Linked DNA regions of Alligator mississippiensis. The protein of the gene in region 1 purifies or fractionates together with the protein of each later gene. This does not show direct contact. Links are inferred from orthologs where the notes say so. Each region holds a gene or a part of one and is shown in the gene's direction. Other genes may lie near its edges.

Region 1 (7,286 bases):
GCTCCATGCTCCTTCCCAATCCTTGCTGAGGCCAGATCTCCGTTGTCCTGGCTTTATTCTGCTTCCCCAGCAAACCTCACAGGGAATATCCGTATCTGAACTTTCTTTAGCTCCAGACTCCCTGCCATACACCACCACTTGCCCATTTAGAGCTAAATCCAGAGCAATTCATGCATTTAATTAGCTGATGCAACCGCTCTGCCTTGCACATGTGTATTTCTCTGGCATGTCAGGAGCTCTGCAAGTATTTTGTGGGAGTTTGTATCTAGATCCTCATACAACCCATCTAAGTCCCAACAAGCAGAAAGTACCCATCTTATCAAGGTCTAGTTTCAGCAGCTTTGCTTAGGAAGGTGAAAGATATAGAAAACAGAACAGATCAACACACAAACTAATGCAGCAGACTTCTCTGAAAAGTCGTGCTTGAGACTGAGATCATATTCCCCCCATAGCAAAGTCTCCTACTAAGCAGACAGCTCCATCTATATCTGAATTACTTGCGTGTCCCCCAGCATTCTTGCAGAAATAAACCTCCTCCACTAGGCTGGGGCTGCTATCTAGGCTGCCTACTCCAGGGGAAAAGTGGAAGTTGGCCCCACAAACCTGTTCTGTGGGAGAAAAAGGAAGTAGAAAGAGACCTTCCCCTTTACTGTCTGTGGTAACTTCCATTTTATGGCATCTTCTGTCGCACGGTGATATTTCTGCAGTCACACAAGGCCCAAATCCTGGTAGGTGCCACTGAGGTTCATGGGTCTGCTGAAGTGACTGAGGCAAGATCAAAATCAAGGCAAGCAGGATCTGACCCCTAAAAGTAGTCTGGGTCTGATTGTCCTGTACCAGCCCACACCTTGAGAAGTCATTTATGCCTGGGCAAAGCGATGCAAAGACGAGTATAATGCCTTACATGCACTTTCCACAGAGATAAAGTGCTCTGATTTCCACAGTGGAATCGGGTCATTCTGAACAGATCCGCTGTGCTGCTGAAGCGCTGCGCTGAGCAGGGAGGGAGGTGAACCTACGCTTCCTTGAATCGAGGCCTCAATAACCAGGTGGCAAAATACCGGACCCTACGTCTCTATTTCTTTCTTGCTCAGATCTTACAAAGTGCTGGCTACTTATAACTTCCATTCTTCATCCCTCACATGGGAGAGGGAAAGGCCTGGGACAGTCCCTGCTCCAAGGACTTCAACTTTTGTATGACAAAAATGGGGTCCGTATCTTCATCTTTGTGTGCTTTGGCGTTTTCGTCCATTCAGGAGCTCTTGGCCGTCACGGATGTTACCAGGGATCGCTATGTGGTCGAGTCCCCTTCGAGGACTGTTTGCATGGGAACCCAGGTCTCCCCTGTCCTAGGGCTTAAGTCATCTCCACCTTGCTTTTCTCTGGCCCAAGAAATCTGGAATTTCTTTTTTGCAAAGCAGCTCAGCCTGATCAGGAAAAGCAGTATATACAACAGGATGAGATAGGAAGCAGAGGAGGGTAGCATAAAGCACACAGGGACATCAACGAGGCAGAACATGACAACAAAAATGCAGAGCTAGAAAGGTCCTCAAGAGAGTATCCAGTCCAGGCCCCTACACTAGATCCAGTAGATCTAGGCATACATTGGCTGGGATACTGGGGTGTACACTGCTTAGCATGCACAAGTGGTTGGGTCCTTTGTTCCTATCTTCTTCGGAAAGGAAAAGTACTAGCAGCAGCATGTCCCCTAGCAGCCGGTTAGGGCGCTGGTTGGTTTCTGATTCAATTGAAAACCGCCAAGCCCTGGCTCACTAGCACCACAAGCATCTTTGAAGATCCCCAACTCACTCCTGTTCAGTGTGCAAGAACTAACAGGAAGCCTGGTGTGAGACTGTAGGCCTCACAGCACACTCATATTAACGATGTGACATGGGGATTTTTTGGAACCAGAATGGGTTTCAGGCTCTGATAGTTGCAATGCTGTGAGCACTAAGCTTGCGGAGGAAAGGACACAGTATTCAGTCAGCTGAAGCCCACACTGTGTTCGTAGATCTTCCCCTTCCAGCTCCTTTGCACTGTGTTTGACTGGGTCTTCTTTGAAGGTCTTTACAGTAACACATGAGGATGTTTTATTTTACAGCTTACGGGTTAAACCGTGGCAGAGGAAACCCAGCCTCTCTCCTGAGGTGCGACCATGCTCGGAACAGAACGATCAAGATCAAAAAGACCTCGATGATTTTGGAAAGAAACGAAGCAACAAAGACGAGAACTTCCTCTGCAGAGCTGCAGCGTTACCTCGCATCTCGGAGGTGGAGGGCAGGCTGCGCAAGCACGTTCCCACAGTTATTTCCAAGCTGGCTTCCACCGTGCAGTTTGCTGCGTCCACATCGGTCCTTCCTGATTGCCAAACCTGAAGGCACACCAAGGGCTTTTGGTCACCAGGCTCTTTCTGATGGCCGAAAGGATGCATTTTGACGTATATAGCACTTTGCACCCCAAAGACAGCGTGCTTGCTGTGAGGTTTAAATGGCGACAGAGTCACTGCTGTAAAAAGCATGCTCCTTCCGTGTCTACCACTAGCTCCCTTTTCTCCCCGAGATCAGTCCCAGCCGCTTGTCCACCATTTTAAGGCCTTTCACGACCCATCTCCGACTTAATCCTCCCATCTAACAGCGCTATTGAGGCACCGATCCTTGTCTCCCCTTCGTCATCCACCTCAGCCCTGACTCTGCATTTGTCAAATGTGCCAGCAAGTCACTTGGCACTGTTTTCCCAAGCTACCTAAGCGAGGGAAGATTCGCTTAGATATGAAGAAGTTTTTCTAATATCTTCATATCTAAACTTCCTCAATAGGAGGGTGGTGAAGTACTGGAACAGGGTCGATATCCATCCGTCGAGGTTTTTAAGACCTGGGTAGACAAAGCCTTGGCTGGGAAGATGTATTTAGCGGCGGTCCTACTCTTGAGCAAGGGGTTGGACTGGAGATGCCTCTGAGGAAGGTTTAAAAACACCCTGACACGTTGTTTGGGATGATGTAATTGGGGCTGGTCCTGCTCTGAACAGGGTGTTGCACTCGATGTCTATTGCCCTCATTGCCTACGAGACGTTTGGGAGCAACCGCGTGATGTTCGCGACCTCCTCGGTTGCACGCGCCTCCGTTCGCCGCATCCGCCCCGGCTTCTTGTCGCGATAGCAAGCGCTTTAGAAGAAAGACCACGTCTCGTCCGGGAGGAGAGCGGCGCTTCCCGCGCGCAGCCCCTTCGCGTCTCCGCGGTCTCTGGGTGCCGCCGGCCGCTGTTACGTAATAACGGCGCTACTTTTTTTTTGGGAGGGAAATTGCGGGACGGACGCTGTCGAGTCCTCGGGTGCCATCTGCTGGAGAAACGGAAAGAAAACGTCAGGCGAGCGATGGATTCGGTCGCACCCGGCAAGGAAAGAAACTTCTTTATGACGTCCTGCCGGTGTGCGGGGGGGGGGGGGGGGGGGGGGGGGCTGCGCGTGCTTATGGCGCTTCGCAAAAGAAAGGTGACCGCGTCCCGGCCACCACGGTGGACAGTGTCCTGCGTCACATGTGCTCACCACAGGGGGGGGGGTGTCTCCCTCCCCCACCATGAACCCCTGCCCCCCCACATACTTCCCCTCCTCCACTGGGGCACCCCCCCACCCCCATCCCCCCTGGAAATTGCCCCCCCACTCCCCCCTCAAGGTCTCTGCCCCTCCCCCCAACCCCAGGTAAGCCCCCCCCCACATACCTCCCCTCCCCCCCTCAGAAATAACCCCCCCATTCACCCTTCCCCCTCAAGGTCACTGCCCCTCCCCCCACCATAGAGACCCCCCCCCCCTTCCGGGAATCCCCCTCCCCCACATACCTCCCCTCAGAAATTGTCCCCCCATCACCCTTCAGCGGCTGTGGCCCCGCCCCGCCTCTTGGCCCCTCCCCCCGGCGCGGCCCGCTCTCCCCTCAGAGGCGGGCTCGCGGCCGCCATCTTGGAAACGGGCACGCGGCCTGCCGGGCTGCCCCCGGGGCGGGGCCGTGCGAGAGAGTATTGATAGGGCAATGGGGACGGGGAGGGGGGGGCGCTGCCCGCTTCCAAGATGGCGGCGGCCGCGTCAGGGAAGGGGCGGGGCGAGGCGCGCTACGGCGGCGGGGCGGGGTCAGCGCGGCTTGGCGGGAGCGGGAACCGCTCAGACCCGCGCACCCGGCCCGGCCTGAGACGCCGCCATGCACGTCATCAAGCGAGGTGCGCCCCCTCCCCCCCCCGCTAGACCCTGGGGGGGGGGGGGGGCGAGTGGGGCAGCCCGGGTCCCTGGGGGGCTGGGGGTGAATGGGGTGGGGGGTATCCCAGGGGGTTAACGGGGGTTGTGGGGGGTTCATGGGGGTTGGGGTGGGTGTCCTGATGGGGTCTGGGGGGAGGGGTATCCCAGGGGGTTAACGGGGGTTGTCCTGGGGGCTTAACAGGGGGTTGGGGGTGTCTTGGGGGGCTGATGGGGGTGGGGGTGCTGTCCTGATGGGGTCTGGGGGTGTCTTGGGGGGCTGATGGGGGTGGGGGGCTGTCCTGATGGGGTCTGGGGGTGTCTTGGGGGGCTGATGGGGGTGGGGGGCTGTCCTGATGGGGTCTGGGGGTGTCTTGGGGGGCTGATGGGGGTGGGGGGTTGTCCTGATGGGGTCTGGGGGTGTCTTGGGGGGCTGATGGGGGTGGGGGGCTGTCCTGATGGGGTCTGGGGGTGTCTTGGGGGGCTGATGGGGGTTGGGGTGCTGTCCTGATGGGGTCTGGGGGTGTCTTGGGGGGTTGATGGGGGTGGGGGGCAGTGTCTGGGGTGGGGGGGGGAGTTGTGGGGTGCCAGGGCATTGGACTGGTTCCAGGTAGTTGATGGGGTGGGGGGCACTGGGGTGGGGGGGTGTCACGCCGTGCTGCATTCGGAGCAGCGTGTGCTAGCGCCCGTCTGGGCGCGTGTCTGTCTCTTCCCCGGCGCCGCGCAGATGGACGCCACGAGCGCGTCATGTTCGACAAGATCACGTCCCGCATCCAGAAGCTCTGCTACGGGCTCAACGCCGACTTCGTCGATCCTGTGAGTCTGCTGGTCGTACCCCTCCCTCCATCCCTCCCTCCCGCGGTTGTTATAGACAATAATTTGCTGTTAGAAATTTGCCCCCTGGCTTTGCCTCGGTTAGCCTGCATGGAAATGGGTGGAAAGCACCTTATAAGCGACCGCGGTGCTGTGCCAGATTTGGGGGATCTTGTCGCGGTGCCTCGTGCCTGTCCGCCACATCTAACTGTTCGTCTCTAGAGCGCTGATCCTCAACCAGGACGCTGGGCCGTGACACGCTGGGTTAGCACGGCAGACACGACTCCCAAAATCACCCGGGAGATTTCAAACAGGAATCCGTAGCGTGAAAAACATCCCGCCCTGTTGTGGGCTTGCTGAGCTCTTTGCAACAGGAGAATCGCCCTTGTTTTTTGTCTGTAGTCAAAAACGACAAAGGAAAATGAAGAGCTGCCCTTTTCTGAGGGGTCTGAAAACATTTAGGACCAACTATTCTAATGGAAATAGGGGTCCAGAAAATGCCACCCCGAGGGTACCAGTGACAGATGTCACCTGGTTAAGGCAACCACCTTGTCCTTTCTTTCCTTTCGTAGCCCAATCCTTCCACATGTTTGCGTTTTGGCTTGTTCTCCTCCATAGGTACAAAGTCTGAGAGGATACATCTATGTTTCCCTGCTATAAATTCCTTCTCGTGGGTCCCTCAGATGCGGCTTGAAGTTTCTGGTGCTAAAAAGCAGAAAAACAAGTTCCCTGCTACTCCATTTCAAATGTCTTATTTCCGTTTGTTAAAATGGTGTAACGAGTGCTTTAACCTTTAAAAATGTGTTTTTAAACTCCTGCCGCATTTGCCTCCGTGAATATGTGGAAGAGAAGCCCTTGAATTCTGTTATTAAAGTAAAAGGTATACCCTTTTTTTCCCCCCGAACTGAACCACCCTCTTATTAAGATATGTGCTCTGTTCTGAGCAGTTTGACACTGAAAAGACACTGACCTGATTCGGCAAAGTGCTCTGCCCTGTACCTGTGAGATCTGTGGGACCGTGCGAGCCCTCCCACGTGGAGCAAATTGCAGAATTAGAGGCCCCAGATCAGAGTCTTTTTGGGCCATAAAGGTCTTGTCTTTATGTGCATCTGTAAAGCACCATCATAGTAGCGGTGCTGTAGTAGCAGTGAGGGGATAATGTTCTTCAGCTTTATTGAACAAAGCTTTGCAAAGAGGACAGAGCCTCATTGACTCCTTTGTACATACAGCCCAGGAAACAGCTGTGTGCAGAGGTGAGCTGACTTGATTGCAGTCGTGCAGCAACTTGTTGGCAAAGCTGGGAATTGGGAGTCGAAGTCTCCGGACTTCTGGCCTGGTGTCCATATGACTATTAATAATACTGAAATTAATTTTCCGTGACTTTTTTATTCTGAGGTAGCTCTGAAGTTCTTTGTCCTGAACCATGGTCCTGTTAGGTTGGGTTTGGGACAAACTACAGCAGAAGAATACCTGTGCCTCAAAGAACTTGCAGTCTAATTCAGGGTTTGAAAATGCCAGCCTGTCCTACCCAGGGCAAGTGAGCATTTCAAACCTGCAGAGGACAATTCTTGCACTAGATCACACTCGTATTCGACCTGATTCTGAATCCTGTCTCATAAGAACATACATAGTGCCATACTGGGTCAGACCACAGGGTCCACCTAGCTCACTATCCTGTGTCTCACCGTGACTAAGAGTGGACGCTAAGGGAAAGGGTATTTAGGCTGATTCTTTCCAGACTGATCTGTCCCCTGCCTCTTTCCCCCTACAGATTCCAGCATTCAGAGAAAGGGTTGCAGCTTTAAATATTGTACTTAATACCCTCTATCTAGGATGCTGGTCTTGGATAGTATCCACCACCAGCTGCCTTGGAAGAAAACACTCTAAAGATGTTTGTGTGTCTAAACTCTAAAGATGTTTTTATTTCTGTTGTTAACCTCCACATTTCTGATTTCCCCAGGCTCAGATCACCATGAAAGTGATCCAAGGTCTTTACAGCGGTGTTACCACAGTAGAGCTGGATACACTGGCTGCGGAGACGGCTGCGACCCTGACTACCAAACACCCCGACTATGCCATCCTGGCAGCAAGGATCGCAGTCTCCAACTTGCACAAAGAAACCAAGAAAGTGTTTAGTGGTGAGTGCATGTTTGAGAGTGCTTCGAAACAGCCTGTGCTCTGTTCATGAGGAGGGAGTCAGAAACGGGTTGGGAGTGTAAATATGGCAAACCATTCCTTAAAGTGATTTGGGCCTGGGA
Region 2 (7,176 bases), on another chromosome or scaffold:
TATAGTGGCACTGGGCTAGCTAGCCTTGTGTACTGTATAAGCTGCAGTATTAGACTGAAAAAATGTATACATTACACGTGTAAATTGTCTTTTTTACAATCCAACAAGATTTCCATGTATCAGTGTTAGAAGCATCATATATGATACATAAAATATGGCTTGCAGAGGTTAACATTTTCAAGGTATTGCCTACATAGAAAACACCCAACTACACTATTATCAACACTTATTTTTCATGGTACACTTAGGAGAGATGTACCACAATGTTTAAGATAGTAGGTGGTGCATTGGCATGTTCCATTAAGTTGCTCTTACACTCTGGAAAGTGAGCACAAGCAAGTAGCTTATTGTCAGGGTTAATAAGGAGTCTGTGAGTCTTGCTTTAAGTGTTGTTCTCAAAATGTGGGTCACAGACCTTGTTCTTTATGGGGCCCAAGAAGAAACCTTTGGAAAGTTAGGTGGTGAGGAACTGGGGCTCAGAGGGAGAATTTACCCAGGGAAGGGTCTGTTATGAAGAAGATAACCTCACAGATATTGGCTTAACCACTTAAGTCATTTGCAGAAAAAGCTAACAGCTGTCTTCAGTAGCTGGGCAAAGTAATATGCATGATATACTATTATCCATTTGACCCATTTACTTCCAGCTGCAAAACACCAGCCTCACTCTCCTAGTAGATAGATGCTTGTTAGATTCCTGCAGTATGTGAAGTAGAGGAGCTTAGGGGCACATGGTTTCAGTCAGAAAACTTATTTTGACTTGAACAGGGAGAAAGTGGTTCCACATTTCAGAATAGGTGTATCCTCTAGTGCTGCACTGCCACTTCTGCTGCTCTTGTGTACACGTCAGTCACATGACACATGCTTGAGGTGGTGAAGATTTCTATTACCTGGCACTGGAGAGGCAGGTCAGGAGCATTTTGGCAGCAGTGAGATTGGGAAGCATTTTCTGGCTATTTTCTATCTTGTTCTCCTGCATTGACCCTCCCCCCTGCTTCCAAGATCATCTCTTGTACCTTTAAAGATTAGTTTAGGCTCAACCCTGTTGACTCAGCTCCCTAGATTGTTTATAAGCTTTAAACTAACATTGCTGGTTGGTTGTTTTTCTCATTGCTGTATCTTATGTTTGAGTGTGCGTGGCAGCCTGGACTTTACCCAGTCATTTTATTCAGTGTTTGAACTTTGGGTCTGCCTGGTTCATGGTCATTTTGGCTAGTTAGAAATGTTACTCGGCACCTTTTCTGTATCATGGTGACTATATTCTGGCCACATATATCTTTGCAAGGCCTTTGATACTGTTTCTCATGAAATTCTCTCAACCAAGGAGGGTACGGGCCTAGACCAGGCTACAGTGAGGTGGGTTGGCAACTGGCTCAGTGACCAACCCCAGTGAGTTGTAATTGATGGGGTGGCCTCACCCTGGAGGGCTGTCGCCAGTGGTGTCCCCCAATGCTTGGGCCTGTGCTCGTTAACATTTTTATCAATGACCTAGATGAGGGAGTGGAAAGCATAATGATTGAGTTTGTGGATGACACCAAGCTGTGGGGACATGCGGGCACATCTGAAGACAGGGCAAGGCTCCACGACAACCTTGGCAGGCTGGTCCTATGGGCTGAATGCAATCGGATGAGGTTCAATAGGGACAAGTACCAGCTCCTTCATATGGTGAAGGTTCTTCCTACCTGGATCTATACGATGGGTGGTGGCCCACTGGCTGGCACGGCATCCGAAAGGGACCTGGGGGTGACAATTGACCAGAAGCTGAATGAGCCATAAGTGCGATCAAGTGGCCAACAGAGCAAATAGAACTCTGGCGTGCATCAGCTGATGTGTTGCCGGTAGATCCAGAGGGGGGCTCCTCCCCCTCTACTTGGCATTGGTAAGACCACAGCTGGAGTACTGTCTAGTTCTGGGCACCACACTTCAAGATGGATATGGATAAGCTCAAAAGGGTGCAGAGAAGGGCCACCTGCAGGATCATGGGCCTGGGGAGGGGGCGGGGGATAGGCCCTATGAGGAGAGACTGAGATTTGGGTTTGTTCAGTCTGAGTAAAAGAAGACTGAGGGGTGACTTCATAGCCGCCTACAAGTATGTCAGGGGTGAACACTAGGATCTAGGGGGTGGAACTATTCAGAAAGGGAGTCCTTGGGAAGACACGGTCCAATAAGCACAAGCTAGTCAAGGAAAACTTTTGGCTAGACATAAGGAAAAACTATTTTCTGTCCGGGTAACTAGAATCTGGAACAGACTTCCAGCAGAGGTGGTGCAGTCACCATCCCTGCTGGTGTTCAAAAGGAGGCTGGACAACCACCTTGTTGAGCTCATTTGAGTCCAATTACCTCCCGCTCGTGGCAGGGGACCTGACTTGCTCTTACAGGTCCCTTCTGGTCCTTCTATTCTATGATTCTATCTGTTGAGAGATGGGGGAGGATTTGTATTAACACATTTGTGCTGGTATAAAAACATTGTGCACTGGCATAATTTCAGCAAAGGCTCTTGATGCAAGTTGCAATTTATACCAGAGCAGCATATTCATGTGAGGGGTTCAAATTGGGTCTGCATAAAACCTGACTGTAGGCAAGCCCAAATTGAAAAGGCAGGGAAAATGTACAGCTTATAGAAGCAAATATTCTGTACCTTCTTACAGATATGCTACATATGCTCTTATGGCTGCATTGGTTCAGGAAGAAGTCAGGTAACAGAACTACTTGTACCATCTTCCAGTTGTTCTCTAAAGGAATGCTCCATCTCCTCTGCCCTCACAGCCACAGACCAGCTCTTAAGCCATAAGAGCTCCCTTCTGCTATATGCATGTCTAGCGTATCTATGACTGCTGTGCTTAATTGCTCTGAAGTAGGGGTGTCAAGGCTGCAGCACAGGCTGGATTCAGCCTATGGAATTGCATCATCTGGCCCCTCCTGCAGGCCCTGGGTCTTGATTTGACCTAGGCTGCCTCCTTGCACAGGGTGCAGGACCCATAGCACATCTCTACATGGGCCCAGTCTGCAACCCCTGGCAGCATGTGGGGTCCACATGTCCTAGATGGGCTGGGGTGGGTGCTGTGTGCACTGGATCTGGCCCCAGGGAGAGGTGGAAATCTGTGAGCCTATGCTTCTGGCCTTCTGCCCTTGGGTCCAGATGAGTTTGATACCCCTGCTGCAAATGCAGTTACAGGACAGTGTCTTTGTCTCTTAAATTTCTGCTGAGGCAAAATCAGTGCAGATTTCATGCAGCTACATAGCCACCGAGGAACTCTGGGTGCTGCTCAGAAGCAGCTTAGACATCCTTTCGGGCTCTCGGTTGGAAAAAGCCCAGGTCTTGGAGCTCGACCTGTGCTTGCGTGCACACAGCAGGTCCCGTGTAAGGGACAGGAAAGGAGGGCAGCTTTCAAACGTGAGACGTGGCAGTCTCTCAGAGCAATGGCCCATACCGACCCGAGCCGCGGCAGACCTAGGTCCTAGAGGGGGAGCATCCAGCCAGAGGCGCTCCAGCACGCCTGCTGAAGCCCTGCCCCGTGGGCCGAGGCTGGCCCGTGCCGCGCTCTCCAGCGACCGGGAACCAGGGCAGCGGGGAGCAGCGGCAATTAATGCTGCCGCACTGCCGAGGGCCCTGGGGCAGGTTGGGGTGGGGGCAGGTCGCCCCGCGCAGGGCCAGGTCCCCTCCCCTCTCACAGCCTGGTGGGCGCGGGGCCAAGTGCTACCACGTGGCTGCCTTGGGGCCCGCGTGTCCCGGGCACTGCCCCCCCGCTACTCGACGCGCTCCCTGGCATCGGCCGTGAAGGCGGCGCGCGTGGCAGCGGTGCAGCCTACTCTGTCCTGCCGGGCTCAGCCTGGCGCGGGACCGCCCCCGCCCCGGGGCCCGGAGCCGGCTGGGGGCGGGGCTGCGCCGCGCCAGGCACAAGCGCGAGCTGGCTCCCAAGCCCCACCCTCGGCGCATGCGCTCTCGAGCCGCCGGAGGCATGCGCCTCCTGGGGCGGGGCGCGGGGCAGGCTGGGAGCGGGGCGCGACGGGGCGGGGCCGGCTCCGACCCAAGGCGGCTCCGTGCTATGGGCTCGCACTGCGGCCCCGCGCCGCTGCCGGGAGCCGAGGGGCCCGACGGGGTGAGCGCGCGCGGGGGGGTCGGGCCGCGTCCTGGAGGGGGGCGGCAAGGGGCCTCCCGAGGTCGGGCTGGGGAGCAGAGCTCCGCGGGGCAGCGGCTCTGAGCCGCCCGCTGTCCAGGCCGCCGCGCGGGGAGCGCCCTCACGGGGGGCCCGGCCGGCCCCGAAACCGCGGGCGGGCGGGCGGGCTCGGGCGCACGGCTTGGGTCGTTGGGGGGGGGGGAGCCGGGGTAATAGCCCGGTTTTGCACAACAAGGGATTCACTGGCGCTCTGATCCGTAGATACCGTTTCCTCGTCGCCTTCCCCGGCCCCTTGCACGGCTACGTCAGCAGGTAGAAACATCCGAGTCGCCGCAGCGATTAAGGGATTAAGAAGAGACCGGGGCGGGCACCCTCATGGTGGCAGATTGCTGTCGTCCATTCATAGACAGTCGGGCTGGAAGGGACCTCGCGAGATCATCGGATCCAGCCCCCTGTGCCAGGGGCAGGAAGTCAGCTGGGGTCAAAGGATCCCAGCATGATGAGAAGCACCCAAGTGTTTCTTAAAAGTGTCCAGAACAGGTGCTTGCACCACTTTTGGGGGCTCAGACAGTGAAGTTTTTCCTCATGTCCAGCCTAAAATGGTCTTCCAGCAGTTTGTGACCTCCTTGTCCCTTGGGGTGCCCTGGTGAACAGACGTTCTCCCAGATCCCTTATGTACTTATAGGCTGCCACCAAGTCCCTCCTGAGCCTTTGCTTCTCCAGGTTGAAGAGTCCCATGCCTCTTGGCCTCTTCTCATAAGGCCTGACATTCTTGTCTTCTGGATTCAAGCTTTTCCATGGCTCCCAGAGGTAGATTGCCCTCCCAGCTCTGGGCTTATACAGTGCAAACTCAGCCCTTTTTGGGTCATACGGTTCATTTAATTCCCTTCTGAGTCATCTGCATCTCGTCTTTCCTTAAAGCAGCAGGAGCCCCAAGCTCCCTACGTACAGATAAATGTTTAATGTACAAAATATTACCATAAAAGTTCAGAGTAGTCGCTATATACGAATTACATGATTATGCAGAGTAAAATAATCAAAGGTTTTTCATGTACACTGTGCTCATCTACAAGATGGAAAATAATTCTGGAAAACACTAATTGGGCACTGGGTGCTTTTACACATGCAATGAGGCTGCTCCAACGCATTGTAATTACAGCACCTTGGATGAGGAAACACCTTGAGGGGAGGGAACTCCAAGAAATTCTCCCCCCAGGACACAGTGGGTACTGGGCTGTTTTTGCATGTTGATGTAGCCCTGCAAGGTGCCTGGGGAAGGAGTTGAGGAATGGTATATGTGGATCAGGGCTCCAGTGAATCCCTTGTGCAAAACCAGATTTATTTGCATGCTGACCAGGGGCACCTTGTAAACACCTCTGAGGACCAGCAAATGGGAACCAGCGCAAATAGGATAGGTTCTAATGTAAGGAGAATCAAACTAAAGTTGTGGTCCTCTGGTGTTTTAGCCCAACTAAATTGTTTTCTTCAATCAGTATTTCTCATAGAAATGTATCGATTTACACTGGAAAACAATAGGATTTTGTCAAGCAGAGCTAAGTATTTTATAAGGAAGGGTATTAGACGGAAAGAAATTAGGCTAAAAAAAACTCCAATTGAAAGTAATCAGGAGGGATACCTTTTTTACAGATTTCTAAATGAACCAAGATGAGATATCAAAGCCATTGTTCTCGTTTATGTGCATAGCTTTTAGCCTGATTTGTTTTATGCACTTAATTATTTTAGAACTTTTGGTTTTATCCCTTCTACATTGCATAAGACAAAATGAGTGCCAAAGCATACCAAGTGCACTCCAAGCTAGTGGTTTACAAATGGGGTGTTAGTGCATTCAGAAAAGTTAGAGGGGAACCTTGAGTGTGTAACGGTTGAGAAGCCCTTGTTCTGTGCCGGGGTCTGCAGCCTTTCTCCTGCTCTAGGTGTGCCAAACCTTCCTATTAAGCTATTAAAAATGTCTTTGAATTTTTTGAGGAGTTTTTGCCTTGTCATTGAATTATACATAAAATCTTAGTGTGTTGATTAAACAATCGTCCTAGACCATTTTCTCCTGAATTTCTTTTCATTCTATATCTGCTGCTACAATAAACATGTCTGTTGTTCTGTGGTACTGGTGTCTGTGAGATTTGATTTTTTTTTTTTTTTTTTCAGGGAAAAAATATTAAGTTTCATGTATGGATACAATTGGGTATATAGTCTAGTTGTTGGTGTCTTCCAGCTCCCATTCCTAAGCTTTTTCTTCCCACTCGCATACATTTAATCTGGAAATATATTGATGCTTATGTTGATTGGGGCATCCTTCTGCAGCTGTTCTCAAGTACACTGGAAACTGAGGCCTCTAGAGCAGCTGGAGCGGGACACTCTGACATGGTCTCAGTATTGCATTTCTGGGTTTGGATGACCTGAGGTGGAACACACACATGTCTGCAGTCCACTAACTCCTCTTTGGAGTGGCCTGGACATGCAGCACTCCCAGAAGGCAGTTGGGTCCAAGAGCTCTGCAGGGGTGTGTGACTAGGCAGAGGATGGGTGGGGGTGACTGCTGCAGTGTCTGTGACTCCAGATGTATGAATTTCCCAGGTCTTGGTATAAGAAGGGCTATATATGGCAGCATTTAAAGCAAGGTGAAACCTGGTCAAGGGAACCCGAACCCAAGACTGGTGGAGGGACATACAGATGGATGAACCCAAATGTGAGGCAGTGCACTGTGGTATGGCAATGGGAGGACCACTAAACGTGGAGCAATTAGGAGTGTATCGGCACAGGCTTAAAGCAAACAAATCCCTGCAAAGTACTGCTTTTTTTACGAATAGGAGTATTTATTGCATCTGAGATGCCAAATTAATTCATTTTGAACAGCTTGTGCATAGACACATGATCTGTAATGTGGAGAAATTCTGAAGGAAATCTTGTATGATGTTCTGGAGTTGAACCGCAAGTAGCTGTGCTAGACGCAGGTTGGTAGTTGGGATGAAGTGACTTTGCACGTGTCCATGCATGTTGTGTTCGCTGCGGTACATCTGAGCTGGGTGCAAGTGAGTGCAGTTTC

The links.
Region 2: the proteins of RRM1 (region 1) and RRM2B purify together in Homo sapiens (affinity purification with western blotting; 3 studies listed by BioGRID and IntAct, counting the BioPlex papers as one, with this or other methods). This does not show direct contact. The link is inferred for Alligator mississippiensis from reciprocal best matches to the Homo sapiens genes RRM1 and RRM2B.

What each region holds. Positions count from the first base shown.
Region 1 is NC_081824.1:481,574,738-481,582,023, forward strand, and holds the start of RRM1 (ribonucleoside-diphosphate reductase large subunit), read left to right. Parts: upstream 1-4,092; 5' UTR 4,093-4,183; coding exon 4,184-4,202; intron 4,203-4,942; coding exon 4,943-5,031; intron 5,032-6,988; coding exon 6,989-7,166; intron 7,167-7,286. UniProt on the Homo sapiens protein: Provides the precursors necessary for DNA synthesis. Catalyzes the biosynthesis of deoxyribonucleotides from the corresponding ribonucleotides.
Region 2 is NC_081826.1:37,273,004-37,280,179, forward strand, and holds the start of RRM2B (ribonucleoside-diphosphate reductase subunit M2 B), read left to right. Parts: upstream 1-3,980; 5' UTR 3,981-4,043; coding exon 4,044-4,097; intron 4,098-7,176.